2 linked regions of the Lepisosteus oculatus genome follow. The protein of the gene in region 1 interacts with the protein of each later gene in a pairwise test. Links are inferred from orthologs where the notes say so. Each region holds a gene or a part of one and is shown on either strand. Other genes may lie near its edges.

The links.
Region 2: the proteins of zmynd19 (region 1) and enox1 interact in binary tests that used the Homo sapiens proteins (3 or more experiments, as listed by UniProt). The two-hybrid records come from large-scale screens. The link is inferred for Lepisosteus oculatus from reciprocal best matches to the Homo sapiens genes ZMYND19 and ENOX1.

Annotation. Positions count from the first base shown.
Region 1 is NC_090719.1:406,703-414,650, reverse strand, and holds the start of zmynd19 (zinc finger MYND domain-containing protein 19), read right to left. Parts: upstream 3,020-7,948; 5' UTR 2,805-3,019; coding exon 2,754-2,804; intron 1,565-2,753; coding exon 1,505-1,564; intron 1,415-1,504; coding exon 1,308-1,414; intron 850-1,307; coding exon 709-849; intron 462-708; coding exon 281-461; intron 94-280; coding exon 1-93. Other genes in the region: bspry (B box and SPRY domain-containing protein), read left to right, coding at 4,640-4,945, 6,064-6,162, 6,518-6,748, 6,836-6,861, 6,949-7,082, 7,673-7,948. UniProt on the Homo sapiens protein: May be involved as a regulatory molecule in GPR24/MCH-R1 signaling.
Region 2 is NC_090710.1:16,414,951-16,422,464, reverse strand, and holds the start of enox1 (ecto-NOX disulfide-thiol exchanger 1), read right to left. Parts: upstream 3,004-7,514; 5' UTR 2,700-3,003; intron 1-2,699. UniProt on the Homo sapiens protein: Probably acts as a terminal oxidase of plasma electron transport from cytosolic NAD(P)H via hydroquinones to acceptors at the cell surface.

The DNA of each region.
Region 1 (7,948 bases):
CTGTTTCTTGTGCGCAGGCCAGTCCCTCTGCTGGCACTGTGAGCCGCAGTACCGCGCCACCTGGCACCGCCCACAGATATTGAACTCTCGGAGCTGGAGGGACAGAGGAGGGAGATAAAGCCTTAAGAGACAAGAGCCTTCAAGGTGTGGCTGGTGAAGGTCACTCCTTCCCTGAACGGAGGCATTTACAATACACCTTCCTGTTCTTAAACAGCTCTGGTGTTTGTGTTCGCTCACCAGCGAAGAGGCACGACGCGTCATCAGACAGTACAACACTCACCCTCCTCTCGATGAGCGAGCAGGGTGGGTAGTGACACTCATAGTAGGTGCAGGAGCACTCCTCCTCCTCCACCAGCTCGCCGTTGGCGTTGTAGTAGCGCGTGCGGCTCAGCTCCAGGTACTGCTCCTCCACAGGGTCTGCCGGCACCTGCTGGATGGCCAGCCAGTACAGGGACTGCTCCCTGGGCAGAGACACACAGACCTAGTCAGACACCTGTGCCGGGACTCCAGAGACGCAGACAAACCCCCGAGACGGGGAGACACATGCCTGAAGAGACACTCAGACACTTTTACTGACCTACAAACCCCCAGCCCTGAAGCCAGACTGCTGATTGTGCGGCCAGCATCAGGACTGACCAGCTGGACAGAAGCCCAGAGCCATGGCCACAGACGCCGAGCACCATAAACAGATCGGGCAGCGTTTCGTACCTCTGCTTGCTGGACAGCTCCTCGGGTTTGGGGGTCCAGCCCAAGGGGACAAGACGCAGGTTGTCCAGCCGGTTGTCCACGGTCACGGAGTTGATGTGGACGACCTGGAAACATGGAGCGATGCCCCCGCGGTGCTTCTCCCTGTGAGCAGACGGAGGACAAACTGAGACGGGCCCTCAGATGACAGCGGACAAGACTGAGGACGCCAGCAGACAGGCCAGCGCGTGGACACCTGGCATGAACCTGCACACTTGCAGAAGACAGACGCACACATCACAGCAAAACCTCGCTCAGCGCTGCTTCCTGTAGCTTTCTGTGTCCTGACCAATATCTTACTTCCTCCACTTCACTCCTGTGCAACAGCAGAATGCCTGCAACGCACACGCGGACCAGGAGAAGCGCCTCGAGCTCTTCAGGAGGCACCCTGCCACTGGTCGGGCTCAAGGCCAGAAGCAACGAGAAGGCGCAGAGAGCGCGGCCTCATCCGCCACAGGTCTTCTTCCGCAGCTGCACAGTAAGTGTCGGAGACGGACGTGCGAGCCGCTCGGACACAAGGGCGCCCCCAGACCCCGCGCAGGCCGAGGGGCGGCTGTCCTCACCAGAGCAGCTCGTGCAGCGGCCTGCCCGCCCAGCGCCCCTTGTTGATGTCGAAGGCGTAGGCGAAGATCTTCGCCCCGTTCCCGTCGGCGTCCACCTCCATCCGCGCCTGCGCGAGAGGAGGGAGAGGAGGAGGTCAGACGGGGCTCTCGGACACGCCCCCCCCACTGCCCGCATGGGCACAGCGCCCCGCTCTCACCTCGAAGGCATAGTTCTCCACCAGGGGGATGTCCTGCTCGTCAATCAGAGTGTACTTCGTCTGTGGAGGGGAGAGACCGAGAACACACCATCAGCAATCGGGACCGGCCCTCGTCGAGACCTCAGCTGGGCTTCCGCTCATCCCAGTGCACCATGCTGGAGGACAGTCTGCAGCCTGACGGCACCAGCATGCCCTCTGGACACCCGACACCCCCCATGGCCGGGGGGAATGTCCCAAATACCTACCTCCCTGCACCACACCGCAAGCACAGGGGCTCCGCTGCCCATCCTCAGAGCTGCCCGAGAGGCCCAGAGATGGACCACGGCTCAGCTGGGGCACAGTCAGCTCCCCGTCTCTCTCAGTCACCCCAAATAAACCATCTGCTGAACCACACACGTTCTTACCATCACGAGACAACAGGGATGCCGCCCCTACTGGTTGCCAGTAGATAGTTACTTCGAGGATCCTGAAAGCCCTGAACTGAAAGCAGCTTCACCAGCAAGGCTAGGAAGCCTGTTCAACACTCCTACCACCCTTTGTGTACAGAAGGACCCCCCTGCTCTATGTCGCCAGCTGACTTCCCTGGAGTCTCCACTCGGGCCTTTACAGGACACGTCTGCACAGGGTGCGGGAGGTCCCTGCCAGGGAGCACCAACAAGCCGGGGTTAAACGCACCTGCATGCGCCAGAGAAGCAGGGCTGAGCTGCCTGTCCCGCTCCGGCCCGCACCTACACCGGCGCAGAAACACCGAGTGGAGCGCCAAGCCGCCAGCCGGCGGGCAGCAGGCCGCTGGCCGCATGTGCCCGGTCTCGCCTCCCTCTCCCGTCCCCCGCCGGCGGCCCTCTAGCGACCGGCGCCCCGCCTCGCACGCCACACCGCGTCCAGCCCTGCAGCGGCGAGGCGGCCGGGCTGCGGGCACGCCCGGGGGCCGAGAGGGAGAGGGGAGAGAGGGGCGAGAGGATTTCAGACGCGTTTGTCTCGCTGGAGTCGCGGCGTTTAAAGCCCAGCCGGACTCGCAGGGCCCGCAACATGCCGGCTTGTGTCACGTTGCCGAGAGGTTCCTGGTGTGCGCCAGCGACCACTATAGTCCCGGTACCTCGCCACGTTAGGAGAACGCGGCGTTTCAGGGAAAACCGGCACAAATACCCCCCCTCTCTGCCGCCACGGCTGCCCTACGCCGCTCTCCGGGGCTGTTGCAAACTGCGACGGCCGGCCGGCCGCCCCCACCTCTCTGACACACATGGCTCACCTTCCCGGCCACACGGCCCAGCCGCACGATCCCCAGCTTGAAATCCGACATGGGGCAGGAGGAGGCGCGCCCGCTCCGGGCTCCCAGACAGCGAGGCGGAAGCTGGCAGAGGTGATGCTCGCAGAGGTGCAGCTCGTCAGGGCGCCCCGCCACCCCGGTCCAGTCCGGATCCCGGGCAAAGCCTGCTGGACTCGCCGCCGCTCAGCTCGCTGGCTCCAGCAGCGGAGACGGAAAGGCAGGCGGGAGGAGGGGTGCGGGGGGGAGGGGCCGCCAGGGTAGAGAGCGCCTCGGCTCCGGCCAATCAGAGCAGGAAGGAAGGAGCGCCTGGCCAATCAGAGCCCGCGCACGGCCAGGTTGTCTTTTTTTTACCCATTTGTCATTCCTAGGCACTGACGAACCCCTTGTGACGTCAGGCTGTTCGATCGAAGTGACCAATCGGAGGGCGGGATTTCCTAGGCCTATCTCCCCCCCCCCGCATCCCTTCCCCCTGACGTAATCGCGTTCCGTTACCAGGCTGCTTTGACGTTGATTTCGCGCGAAACTACACAGCGTGGCCCAGGCGGAAGGAGCTGGGCGGTCACGCATCCACGTGATCCAGCACGCCCGAGAGCTCGAAGCAGAAACCAGTTCGGTATCGCATGGGCTGTTGCAATAAACACGTGACAGGAGAATATGTGAATGGGCTTGTAATAAATGTCAATCACATCCTGCTGTTAGAGTGGTCTTTGTGATCCAGGGGACGTTTATTAAAGGACATTTAAGGCACTGGCAAGGCAGGAGTAAGAGGTCTAGCGCCCCCCGGCGGCGTGTGTCGTGCACGGCAGCACGATTTCTCTCGTGTCTCAGGCTTTCACCCAGAGAGACGCCCGACTCTGATGGGTGAGACGTTAAGACTGAGGTGTCTGGCAGGTCACGAGTAAGCACGCGGTGAACCTCTCTGTACCCGATCGTTCAAGTGATCGAGATTCATTTATTCGATTCATTGCATCGGCATCAAGAGCTACAACACAGACAACAGTTTCCGAAGTGAAAGTGCAGTAGACCCGACGGCCGTCACGGGAAAGGAGATGGACAGCGCGGACTGCCCGCACCAGAGCCTCACAGCGAAGTGAAAACTCGCACAAGGAGTCCAGAACGTGACCCAGATTACACCGGGTCCGAGTGAAGCGTCTTCTGGTGGCGAGCGGGAGAATTACAGGCGGTTGCACCGTGAGAGAGCTTACTGTTCGCCCAAGGGGTTGAGTCTGCGTGGATGTGGGAAATCCACGCGTGTAAATGTCTTGCCGAGACAGGCAGAAAGTACGACTCCCGGTGCAGTGCACCGAAAGGGGGGAAAGTCCAGGGAGAGAGAATTGATGATTTACCAGGACTGCTCTCACGCAGCGCCGGGCGCCCCGCTGGGTGTGTGGAGAGGAATGCACAGTGTGCGCGACTGCTCTGCCCCTGAGCGCCGTGTCTTCAGCCCTTCAGCCTGCCTGGGCTGTGGCTCAGACCTACCTTCCTCCGGGATCATTGCGACATGGAAGGTTGTGTTTCCTGTTTCACAAAGCGCAGTGCAAGTGCGGTACTGGCTGGAAGGAGCTCCATGTGGCTTAAAACGCGCAGTGCCGTTGAACGGCTTCAGAGGGAGTCAGGGCGAGAGGAAAGACGAGCGAGCACTGGCGAGCATCGGGTCTGAGGTCTGGAGACCCCCCTCCTCCTCTTCTCCACTGGCTCCCAGTGCCGCGCTGACCTTTACCTGCACTTCCGTGTCGGTGCTTCCTCTCACCTGTCACAGGTAACTGCTCGCTCTCTCTCCGGCACACACCTGTCGCGCTCCTGTGGCGGAGCCGGGCGGGTTTCCGCAGATATCAGACAGAAACAAGGGGGCACCCGGCTGGGGCGCAATGAGCACCGCAGAGGCGAGGGGCGGCCCGCTGACGGCCGTGTCCCCGTTGGACAGCGGCACCCCGGCGGGGGACAGCGCCCACAGACACCCGGGGCCCAGCACGCCGACAGCTGGCGCTCCGTCCGCCGCCACCCGCCTGAACGGGGCCAACGGCGTCAAGATCGGAGCCGCCGAAACCGGCACCAGGAGCCCAGACCGGGCGGGGGAGCCGGCGCTCAAGGGGGCAGGAGCGAGGGAAGGCGAGCCGGGCCGGCGGGGTGCAGAGCAGGGGCCGGAGCTGGCCCAGAGAGCTGGTGCGGTCCGGGTGAGTTCCGGAGGGCGCTGCTGCCAGGCAGCCAGAAACAGCGGGTTACAAACTCGGGACAATAGCAGCTACAGTAGCTCTCTCAGCAGTGACGGGCATGGCCATGTCTTTGTGACACCGCCCTGCTGCAGGAAGGCTGTGAGTAAACAGAGTCGACCTGTCGGTCAGAACAGAGCCCCTGCGCTGCCCCAGCCTGTCCTGCGGGGCCGGTTGCCGGGGCTGTGAGGGAGACTCCCCGTGTCGCGATGAGAGTCACCTGACGGCGCAGCGTGACGGGGAAGCGCCGTGAAACAGTGCCGAGAGTGGGGGAGGACTGCGGGCGGGCACTATCTGCGCCTCGGTGCGTTATTGGCAGGACAGTGCTGCCAATGCAGATACAATTAACACAACATTTACAGACGCGGATATTATTGGACAATAATCACGTAAAACACCACTGTGAGACAGACTCACTGTCTGTTGCTCCAGCTGGAACAGGAGATCACACACTGGGCTGATGAGTTTACTCCCAGTAGGACTGGAGGCTCTTCTGATACTGGCAGGAATTCTGGTGTTAGAGTTGCTTTTAATTATAGGAATATTTATTATAAGAATAATTACCTCTCAGTTACGCTCCTGGTCTCAAAGTGTCCCTCAGTGTCTCAGGGTCTCTCAGTGTGTCTCAGTGTCCTCAGTGTGTCTCAGTGTCCTCAGTGTCCCTCAGTGTCTCAGGGTCTCTCAGTGTTTCAGGGTCTCTCAGTGTGTCTCAGTGTCCTCAGTGTGTCTCAGTGTTTCAGGGTCTCACAGTGTATCTCAGTGTCCTCAGTGTCCCTCAGTGTCTCAGGGTCTCTCAGTGTCCCTCAGTGTCCTCAGTGTGTCTCAGTGTTTCAGGGTCTCTCAGTGTCCCTCAGTGTCCTCAGTGTGTCTCAGTGTTTCAGGGTCTCTCAGTGTGTCTCAGTGTCCTCAGTGTGTCTCAGTGTTTCAGGGTCTCACAGTGTATCTCAGTGTCCTCAGTGTGTCTCAGTGTCCTCAGTGTCCCAGGGTCTCTCAGTGTCCCTCAGTGTCCTCAGTGTGTCTCAGTGTTTCAGTGTCCCTCAGTGTGTCTCAGGGTCTCAGTCTCCTGTCACCTCCTGTCTCAGAACCAGCTGGTGGACACGTGTGAGAAGCTGCAGCTGAAGGCCCTGCGGATCGAGCGCTTTGTGAACAATGTGCTGCCGCCCCATGAGCTGGACCTGCAGGTCAGCACCGGCCCACCTGGGTCAGAACCCAGGAGCAGACACATAGCAGTGCAGTCGTGTGCTCTGCCCTCCTGCTGGACCCTGACTACCGGACACTGACCTCCAGACCCTGACTATCAGACCCTGACTACCGGACCCTGACCTCCAGACCCTGACTGCTGGACCCTGACCACCAGACCCTGACCACCGGACCCTGACTATCAGACCCTGACTACCGGACACTGACCTCCAGACCCTGACTGCTGGACCCTGACCTCCAGACACTGACCTACAGACCCTGACCGGCGGACCCACACCTCCGGACCCTGACCGCCGCTCCCTGACCCCGTGTCGTGTGTGTGTGTGTGTGTCCCAGGGCGGGGCCAGCCGCGCGCGGGACGCGGTGCTGCGGCGGCTGGCGGCCGTGCGCGAGGCCTGTGACGAGGAGGAGCAGCGCCTCCTGGAGGCGGTGCAGCGCGAGGAGGAGCGGGTGCAGCACAGCCTGCTCACCCAGCGGGCGCACTGGGCGCAGGCCCTCGGCTCGCTGTCCGCCGTGCGGGCCCAGCTGGTGCGCCTGCTGACGGAGACCGAGGACCGGCAGCTGCTGGTGAGCCTGGGGGCCGGGTCAAAGGTCAGGGACAGGCGGGCTCGCGCTCATTCTCCCAATCCTCACCCGTTCTGCTCTCTTCAACAGGACTGCTCCCAGGAGATCTCGGACAGGTGAGCGGCTCTGGCCCCCAGGGCTAACGGCAGCTCCGAAAACACCCCAGGCCCGCCAGTCACCCCCGCTCCCTTCTTCTCTCGCAGGGTGGAGGTGGCAGAGGGGGTGGGGGAGCCCCAGGACTCCGAACACTTGACCTTTAACCCCAGGAGCAGCCAGAGCTCGTTGCTTTTGAACCTGTGGGCGAATGCCGTGCTGCTGTGTCGCTCTGGTCAGTGCGGTGAGTTGTCTGTGTGCACAATCGGCAGAGGTGTGAGTGGGGCCAGTGGGGGGCGCTCACCCTGCGGTCTGTGTGGGTCCTAATGCCCCAGTTTAGTGACGGGGACACTGTACTGTAGAAAAGGATGTCAAACCAAGGTCCTGACTCTCTGTGATCATTAACAATCCCAGGGTGTTTCTCGAATACAGTAAGGGTGTTAATCTCAGTGTCCTGGCCACAGATTTCCCCCCTGACCTTCACCGATCATGGCCTCCTAATAACCCCCCTCTCTGAACTGGCTCCATCACTCTGCTCTCCTCCCCACTGAGAGCTGGTGTGTGGGGAACGGACTGAATGGAGTGTCCGGAAAAGCACTAGATAAGTGTAAGGAATTATTATTATTTAAAAGTGTATCCCTGTGTAGCATTCTGATCCTGTCCGGATTTTCCCAGTTGCAGGCTCTTGTACAATCCATGCAGGAGACTTCAGATGTGTTTTCAGTGTTACTGTGTGCTGGTCTGTGCAAATACCAGTCTGACCAGTAGCAGCTGCTGGAAAAGCCTGGAGTGCAGAAGGAGTCAGCTCCTGTCCCCCCCCTCTCTCCTCCGCAGACCCTGAGCCCCTGAGCTTTGACGAGCGGACGGTCAGCCCCCTGCTGTCCCTCTCGGACGACGGCCGAACCCTGACTTTCCTGCCCAGGCGCGCGCGCCAGCCCCAGCAGTACAGCCCGCTGCGCTTCGACCGCTGGCCCAACGCGCTGTGCGGCCGCAGCTTCTCCTCGGGGACGCACCGCTGGCTGCTGGAGGTGGGGCGCAGCGCCGCCTTCAAGGTGGGGGTGAGCTACGGCAGCCTGGAGCGCAAGGGCCCGGGGAACGGGGCCCGGCTGG
Region 2 (7,514 bases), on another chromosome or scaffold:
TCTTGGTCTCATTCTAGAACATTATTTCAACTGCAAAGAGTATTTCAACAGATTGGTAAATCAATTAAAACAACAAATATGGTTATGGTAAAATGCTGCTGCTTTTAAACTGAGCATCTTGCATATTCCAGAATGCTATTATTTAAACCAGAATTTAATAGGGTCTTGTAATCTGGTCACCAAATACTCATGAAAGACTAGCAGTGGTCATTAGACTGTACATGGGATCACTAGGATTCACCATTGTACCAAAACATGGTATGAATGAAGAAAAATCTTCAACCTTATTTCAGCAGACAATGTGAGAACAAACACATCAACAATATTATCAATATAATATTCTTACTGTGTGAAATTCCCAGACTGGACAGCCAGATCCATCTCACTACACTAGAATCCCGTACCAAAATCTCAGTTACTCAGTCACAGGAGACCACATATTCTCTAATGCTGGCATATGTTTTTTTTTGTCTTTCCTACTCCATGTCTTTTCCTTATGCGCTCTCTTAAGTTAATTAATAATCCACTCTCTGGAACAAGCTACCCAGCCACGCAATTAAAGACGATATCCCAGCTTCTTTCGAGAACTGACAGGATGTGCTCCTCGGATAAATTATCTACAAAACACCTAATAAGATAGGTTTCCTAAACGGCCCTTCTCATTGGAAAACATTTTCTTATATTTTCTTAATTGTGACTGACTTTATGAAATCCCACTATCAGCTTGGATTGTTTGTAGGACAGGACCCTTGTGTGTCGATCCATCCAATTTCTAACCACTTCTTCCACTTCCAGGTCACAGGGGGGCTAGAGCCTATTTCAGCAAGCAACAGGTGCAAGGCAGGGTACACCCTGAACAGGACTCCATCACAGGGCACAAACACACTCAGGCTAATTTTCCATGAAGCCCATTAACCTACCCCTATGTCTTTGGACTGTGGGAGCAAACCAGAGCACCCAGAAGAAACCCAAACCCACAGAAATACAGGCAGAACACAGAAGCTCCACACAGACAGTACCCCAGGAATTGAACCCAGGGCCCCAGTGCTGCAAGGCAGCTACGCTGTACCGCAGTGCGGCCATGCCACCCCACTGAATCTAGTATCTGTCATATGTTCATTAACGTTGACCTTTATCCCAGTACTCCTGTATGTGTGTTTAACAAAGCAGCAATATGTGCATGGCTGCGCTTGTTTTTATTTTTAAACATCATCATTCCTGTGTCTCTACGTGCTGGAGTCAACTATTCAAAATCTGATTTGTTGTTATTAACCTGACTTGACAAGAGTCAGAAAACAGCATGCCCAGGAAACATGAAACGTGCAACTGCGGCCACATCTGAAAGAATGATGGGCCCTTTTATAAAAGGCATGCCGACATCCATCCACGTGGACCGGGAGGACAGAGCCCAGAGAAAAGACCCCGGTCTTTACCACACACTGCAGCACAGGCGGTCTCTCTCCATGGTGCTGAACTCGTTGCCCAGGTGACGTCCTATCAAGGGCATCAACTGTTGATTTTTTTTTTGCCTGCTTGTTTATTCTGTTTCCAGTCTAACGGTAATGGGAACTGTTATTCCCTTACATTTTATTGCATTTTAGGGGCTCCTACATCTGATTTGCGCAGATACTAATTTTAACTTTATTCGTTTACGTTTTTGCATTCTGCTTCTCTGTTGCTATAAGATGCATTCGTGTGTTACTTTCTGAAAGGCTCACAATATCACTATAAGTCACGCTTAAATTGATCTTAAATCGGAAAATTATACTTATTTTTTTATTTCTCTCATATAATAAATATGTGTAATTAAAAATACAAATGAAAGTAACGTAAAACCACGCACTCATAATAACAATTCTTTAGTTTTCCCGTGAGTTTCTTACTGATCGTTAACATTGTAGCAATTTTAAAAGGCTACTTTGTAACATTTCACACGATAGCGCAAATAACAACATATTTATCTATATCATTTCCTCGCGACTTTAAGATAGCATGAATAGTTGAAAATCGGCTTATTGTCGTTAATTGAAAAAACAAAACACCGTACTTTACCATACCATTGCTTTGGATGAAGACTGAAGTGTAATTAAACCACAACACGGGTCTTAGTACCACATATAAGCCTTTTCTATAACAAAAGTTCATTATCGTTTTGTCTAGAGCTTTCACGAGAAGTACGTGGAAAAATATACATATTCAACATATCATTCAGCTTCCTAAATACGGGAAGAAATGAAGATCTCGTTTATAGTCGAGATATCAGTTACTTACATGTATTTATGTATATTGATTTTATGATACTTAGAGACAGTTTGATTGTATAAATCCCCAACAAATAAACAAAAGCATCTTATGAAGTATCCATCCAGCACGTTCTATATTTTATTGATATCTTTCCGCTAATGCCCATAGTTTTGTCAGTGACTTTCTCCGCCTCTCGGCATTCAGAAATTGAAGACATTTGGCTTCATAACAGTACGCCCATAATGAAGCACACTCGCCGTGGCTTGATATACAGTGTAAGGATACGGTTTCACTGCTTCCACGGCGGCTGTCCTCATTGCTTAAGAGGTGCTTGTGCTTCTCGGTGCTTTGAGCTCAACCCCCGTCTCCGGGCTGCTTTAGTATAAGCAACATTCTTGCACAGATGGAGCGCGCACATTAAATCTTAGGGTATTCGCATGCATTCGGCTTCTTACCGAGGGAAGAAGTTTTCGGAATATCTCATCCGAGGATGTAATCACGCTTCTTCTGTAGTTGGAAAAATAAGATATCCTTAGACGGGAAGCGAGGAAGACGAGAAAACGCTTCAGCTGTCTAACCTCCCTTGGCTCCTTAGCTCTGATGCATCTTACAGAGCTGGGCTGCTTATTTCATTTGCCTATGACCAACCGAGGCGCGCGACACGGATCACCGTGCACGAGTCGCGGCCGACTGCTCCTCTTCTGAACGTGCTTGGGCATTCCAGGTGCTCTGCGCTGTGAGCATTTCTTGCTCTTCCACATACCAGCCTTGACTGCGCACAAAAGCAACGAGAGACAATAAATAATCGCGCTACAGAGCATTCTATACCGATGCCTTAAAAGTGTTTGGCAGCTGTCGAAGAAACGTCCCCACCCAGGGCAGCAGTTTTAATTGCTGTGGGCCAGTGTGGGCTCATTGTATTAATATTTTAATAGAGCGTGTCATTTTGGGGGGTATAGAAACGATCATTCCACTAAACCCTAATGTAACTTCCTCCTCCCCCTAACAGGACAAAAAGGAAACGTGCTAAATTAATCAAGCTAATATTGTTTGGTTTTTTTAAGTGCAGGGGGTGTTCATCACAGAGTTGTTTTCATTGTTTTGAGATTCCGTTTTGAAAATCCGTGTGCTTTCAGAAACATTTGTGATTGTATTTTTGGAAATTTGGCATGGCAGTGTTCCTGAACGGGGATGTCGCTGTGCATGTGGACGGTGGCTTGTTAATACCGCTATACAGTAAAAGCTGGACTCGCTGTGTTTTGACCTACGAAACTACCACCGCTGTGATGGCAGTACGGGATTTTGTCACATCAAAGCAAATGTCAGGCAGAAGTATCGACCACGACGGCATAACAAGACTCCGTGCGTTGTCTAAGGGGGTCAAATTTGTGATCTTTTTAGGTCATTTGATAGCTACAATTGTCCTATTCCAAAATGTGTTTACGTCATTGTTGCACCGTGCATAGTTAACAAAAGTTAATTACAATGTTTCTTCTTAGGTCAAAGAGCCCGGATAAATTGAATAATGGATTTCTCAACCCTTCGCCAGTGTGACCTTTAAAATCCTTCACTTTACGCTATAGGCTGACCTTTTCAGTTTTTCTCTTTAAAAAGGGAAGCGGATATCGCATATGTCCCATGCAGTATTTAAGTGTCTATAAGCTCTATAGCTCTCACTATGGTTATAAAGTAATAATCAGTTTGACTGTGTGACATCCTGGAGAAATGTTGGAAGACAGAGCATAGAATATACTGTAACTTGGAAATGACATGTTGGTCACCACAGACGAAGTATTAGTTTAAACTGGTTTTAACGAGTGCAGGTAAGTGTTCAAACAGGTTAACATAGACGTCTCTGTCACACTGAATGAAAAAGAACAGGTGTGGGACGAAAGGTGTTTGGGACTGTATTGTCACGGACCTCCAAAAGTACTAAACGTGGACTAAACGTGGAGAGGCAGGAGAGCGAAAAAAGACCCATATGCGTAGCGGCGAGACAGGAAAAAGGCCCGGGCTCGATAGTGCAAAGAGTTCAGGAGTGCCGTATAGAAACCTATGCCCTCAGGTAGCGGACGTGGGGCGACCTGGTGCTAAGCGTGTCTCAGGACATCCGAACGTCAATGCTGAGCCAGGACAGAGTGCAAGACCCGGAAATATATAGCCCAAGGGAAAGAGAGGGACCAGAAGGACAGCAGGCAGGAAACTAGGGACAGGACAGAGAAGGAGCGCCCTCTGCAGCCAGACATGTATAGGTTTTATATTGCATCGAATGGCCAGTGCCACTTTCAGTGCTGATGCAGTTTGCATCTTGGAACAGGTAAAGGTTTATTCCATGCTGAAAAGAGAAGAAAGGGAAACAACGTTTCGGCTGTGGAGCCTTCTTCGGGTGTTTGCATCTTGTACCTTAAACTGCCTCTCACTGATTAATGTTGTGCAATTACCACACAGTCCTGATACAGGTTTAACTGTGCTTTGATGGGAGAGTGAGGCTCTGGAACAGGGGGCTTCAGCCAGTTCCTCAACATGCTCTGAACACTGAGGTCTACTCACTCATGAAAGGCACTCCCACCCCCCACCCCCACTCCTAGAGAATGAGTCCTGAGCCCTGGTTAAGGAGGCCTTCAAGCACCTCAGTCAAGAGAACTCAGGGGAACGTTGGAGAAGGAAGGATTGCGAGACAGATTCCAGCAGATTGATGGGTCCAGGAGAGGACATGGACACCAGGGCCTCTGAAGGGAGCAGCTGGGGATGTTTCTGGCATCAATATCCCCCCCACACACACACACTCACACTCACACCTGACGCTGAGCTCTGAGAAATCAAGGTCGGAAAGGGCAAGCGGAACCACAGTGCTCAGGACAGGCAGGACCGGAGAAGGTGCCTAAGAACCACAGAAGGAACTACACAGAGACCAAAGCTTCTGGACCTTTCCTCTGGGACACTGGGTTTGGTTACTGGGGTCCATGGGGTCTTTGTGCTGGCCTTGTGTGGCATGTGTGTCCTTCAGAGATTTGGTTTTCTGTCAGGGACTCTGTGTGCTGAGTAAACAGTGTTAAATGTAAATGCTAGAGAATAAAAGGGCACTTACACATATACCAGTGTCAATTGCTGGTCTGTAGGTGCACTGGTGTTTGTGGATGATAAAAGGATCCTGTTGCAGGGAACAGGGGTCCTAGCATTCTTGAAAATTGCTCGTTGGTGTAGTCGGCCGCCAATGCAAAAATCTTACCTGTATTTAGAGGTCACCTTTCCGTGACACCCCTTTCACCAATGATTAGGATGATAGTAGAAAACACTAACATTTGTTTGCTTTGTCACAGCAAGTTGAGCTACTGACACAGCTGTTCTGGCTGTCATTATCCACAGGGGGGATATGGCCACCAGAATTTGTTGTTTTTTTTTAAAAAAAGGGGGGTCTCTCATCTGAATTTCGAAGTTACAAGTCTGCTGACCGGCCATGTCTAGAATACCAAGCTGTGACCGCTGCTGAAGCCAAAAGTAAAACAGTCGTCAGATTGACAGCCATCAGACTGTTACAATTCTTCCTGAAACTCCTCCTGAATTGGTCGAACGTATGATTCATTCAGTGATTATTGTTGCAAAAACCTACTGAACCATGAACCATGTTTGTGCAGAAACCCAGAAGGAGCTTCCCAGTTAGAAATACGGTTTAAAAATATGATATTGTCTATTTATATTTACTAATATTAAAGTATCCTCAATAAGATTATCTGTTATTTAGTAGCATATAAAAATGTCTTGCTTCTAACATATTTGAGGTTTTTTGTGTATTTAAATAAACCCCTGAGATTAAATCATCTTAAGTGTTTCTCAATAAACTTGCTTCCAGTTGAATGAAATCTTACATTTATCCTCATTCACACATTGTATAGATAGAAGCCCAAATGGATAATCACATCTTCTAAACAAATACATAATAAGAATACATTTATCATTTGGTATTTTCAGTGTCTGAGGTTAACAGAACTATTTTACAGTTAAAAGTGATTATCTAGTAATGCTGCTCCCTCTGCTGGCCTTACCGGGGAGCTACAGGACACTGAAATACATTTATTGCATTCCATTTGAAATCAATTTTTAAAAGCTGAAGAGCTGTTTATAAATTAGATTATGTATGCTTAGGAGATGAATAACAGAGGATGATAAAATTAATAGTAAATGTACTAGATTAATATTTCATGCAGGATTTTACAATAGAATAAGTCAAAAGCATACCCCATGCTACAGAAGGAACTCCCTTAGTACTAGGAAATGTTAAGATGCAGTAACCTGATACTGAAGCCTTACAAGGCTTATTCATTATTCATAGCCCCATAGTGACGATATTTCAACTCTCACTTAGAATGAGAGTGATACTCACAGATTCAAGGATTTCAAAAAAAGGAGACAGAAACAGACCAGTGAACAAAGGGCAAATCAATTTGAGATTTGTTTATACTGGTAAAGTCAGTAAACTTATGTTTTAGTCAAAATGAAAGCATACTTAAGACCAACGTGGATTAAGAAAAGAAAGGTCTTCTTCTTTAAACAAGCAATAACGTCAGTTAGTGACACCAAAACTTATGTCATGAATATATGTAGATTTCCAGAAAACCTTTGAAAAGGCCCCTCATAAAAGGTTAACCCTCCAAATAAAAGCTTTAGGAAGCCAAGGTAATGTATACACATGGCTCAAGATGAGGTTACTGTCACAGTGCCACAGCGATCTGTTTAAGGTTCACTGCTCTTCCTGATCAACAGTGTGCTTCCCATATCACCAATTCTGACAATGAAATGGTGTGCAAACTGTCCACATGATGACAAACATGGAGAGTGGCAAATGTAACAGTGCTGAGAATACTGAGCCAGCGCCAACAGTAATATCTCCCCCCTCTGAAATTTAGACAAGCTACAGTAACAGTTCTGTTGCAGAAGAGGACCTGGTTTAAAGATGTAGCTGTGCTGTCTATAGAGTGACACTGTGTGGTTCTGTGACCACTCTGTGAGCAGACACTGGAGCTGCGCTAGTCTCCATGTTGTGTAGAATTCTCCTCTGGACCTGATTTTAAGTGTGGTGGAGTTATCCAGTGTCTAGGGGGTGGGGCTGTGTGTGCTCATTTAGAATATTGTTTGCAGCGTTGGTCAGCATACCACAATAAGGACATTATCACCCCAGAAAGAGTCAGCAAAGAAATGCAGCAAGAATGATTGTTGAATAATCTGAGGGAGCATTGTCATAGAAAGACAGGATCAAGAAACAAAATATTTTC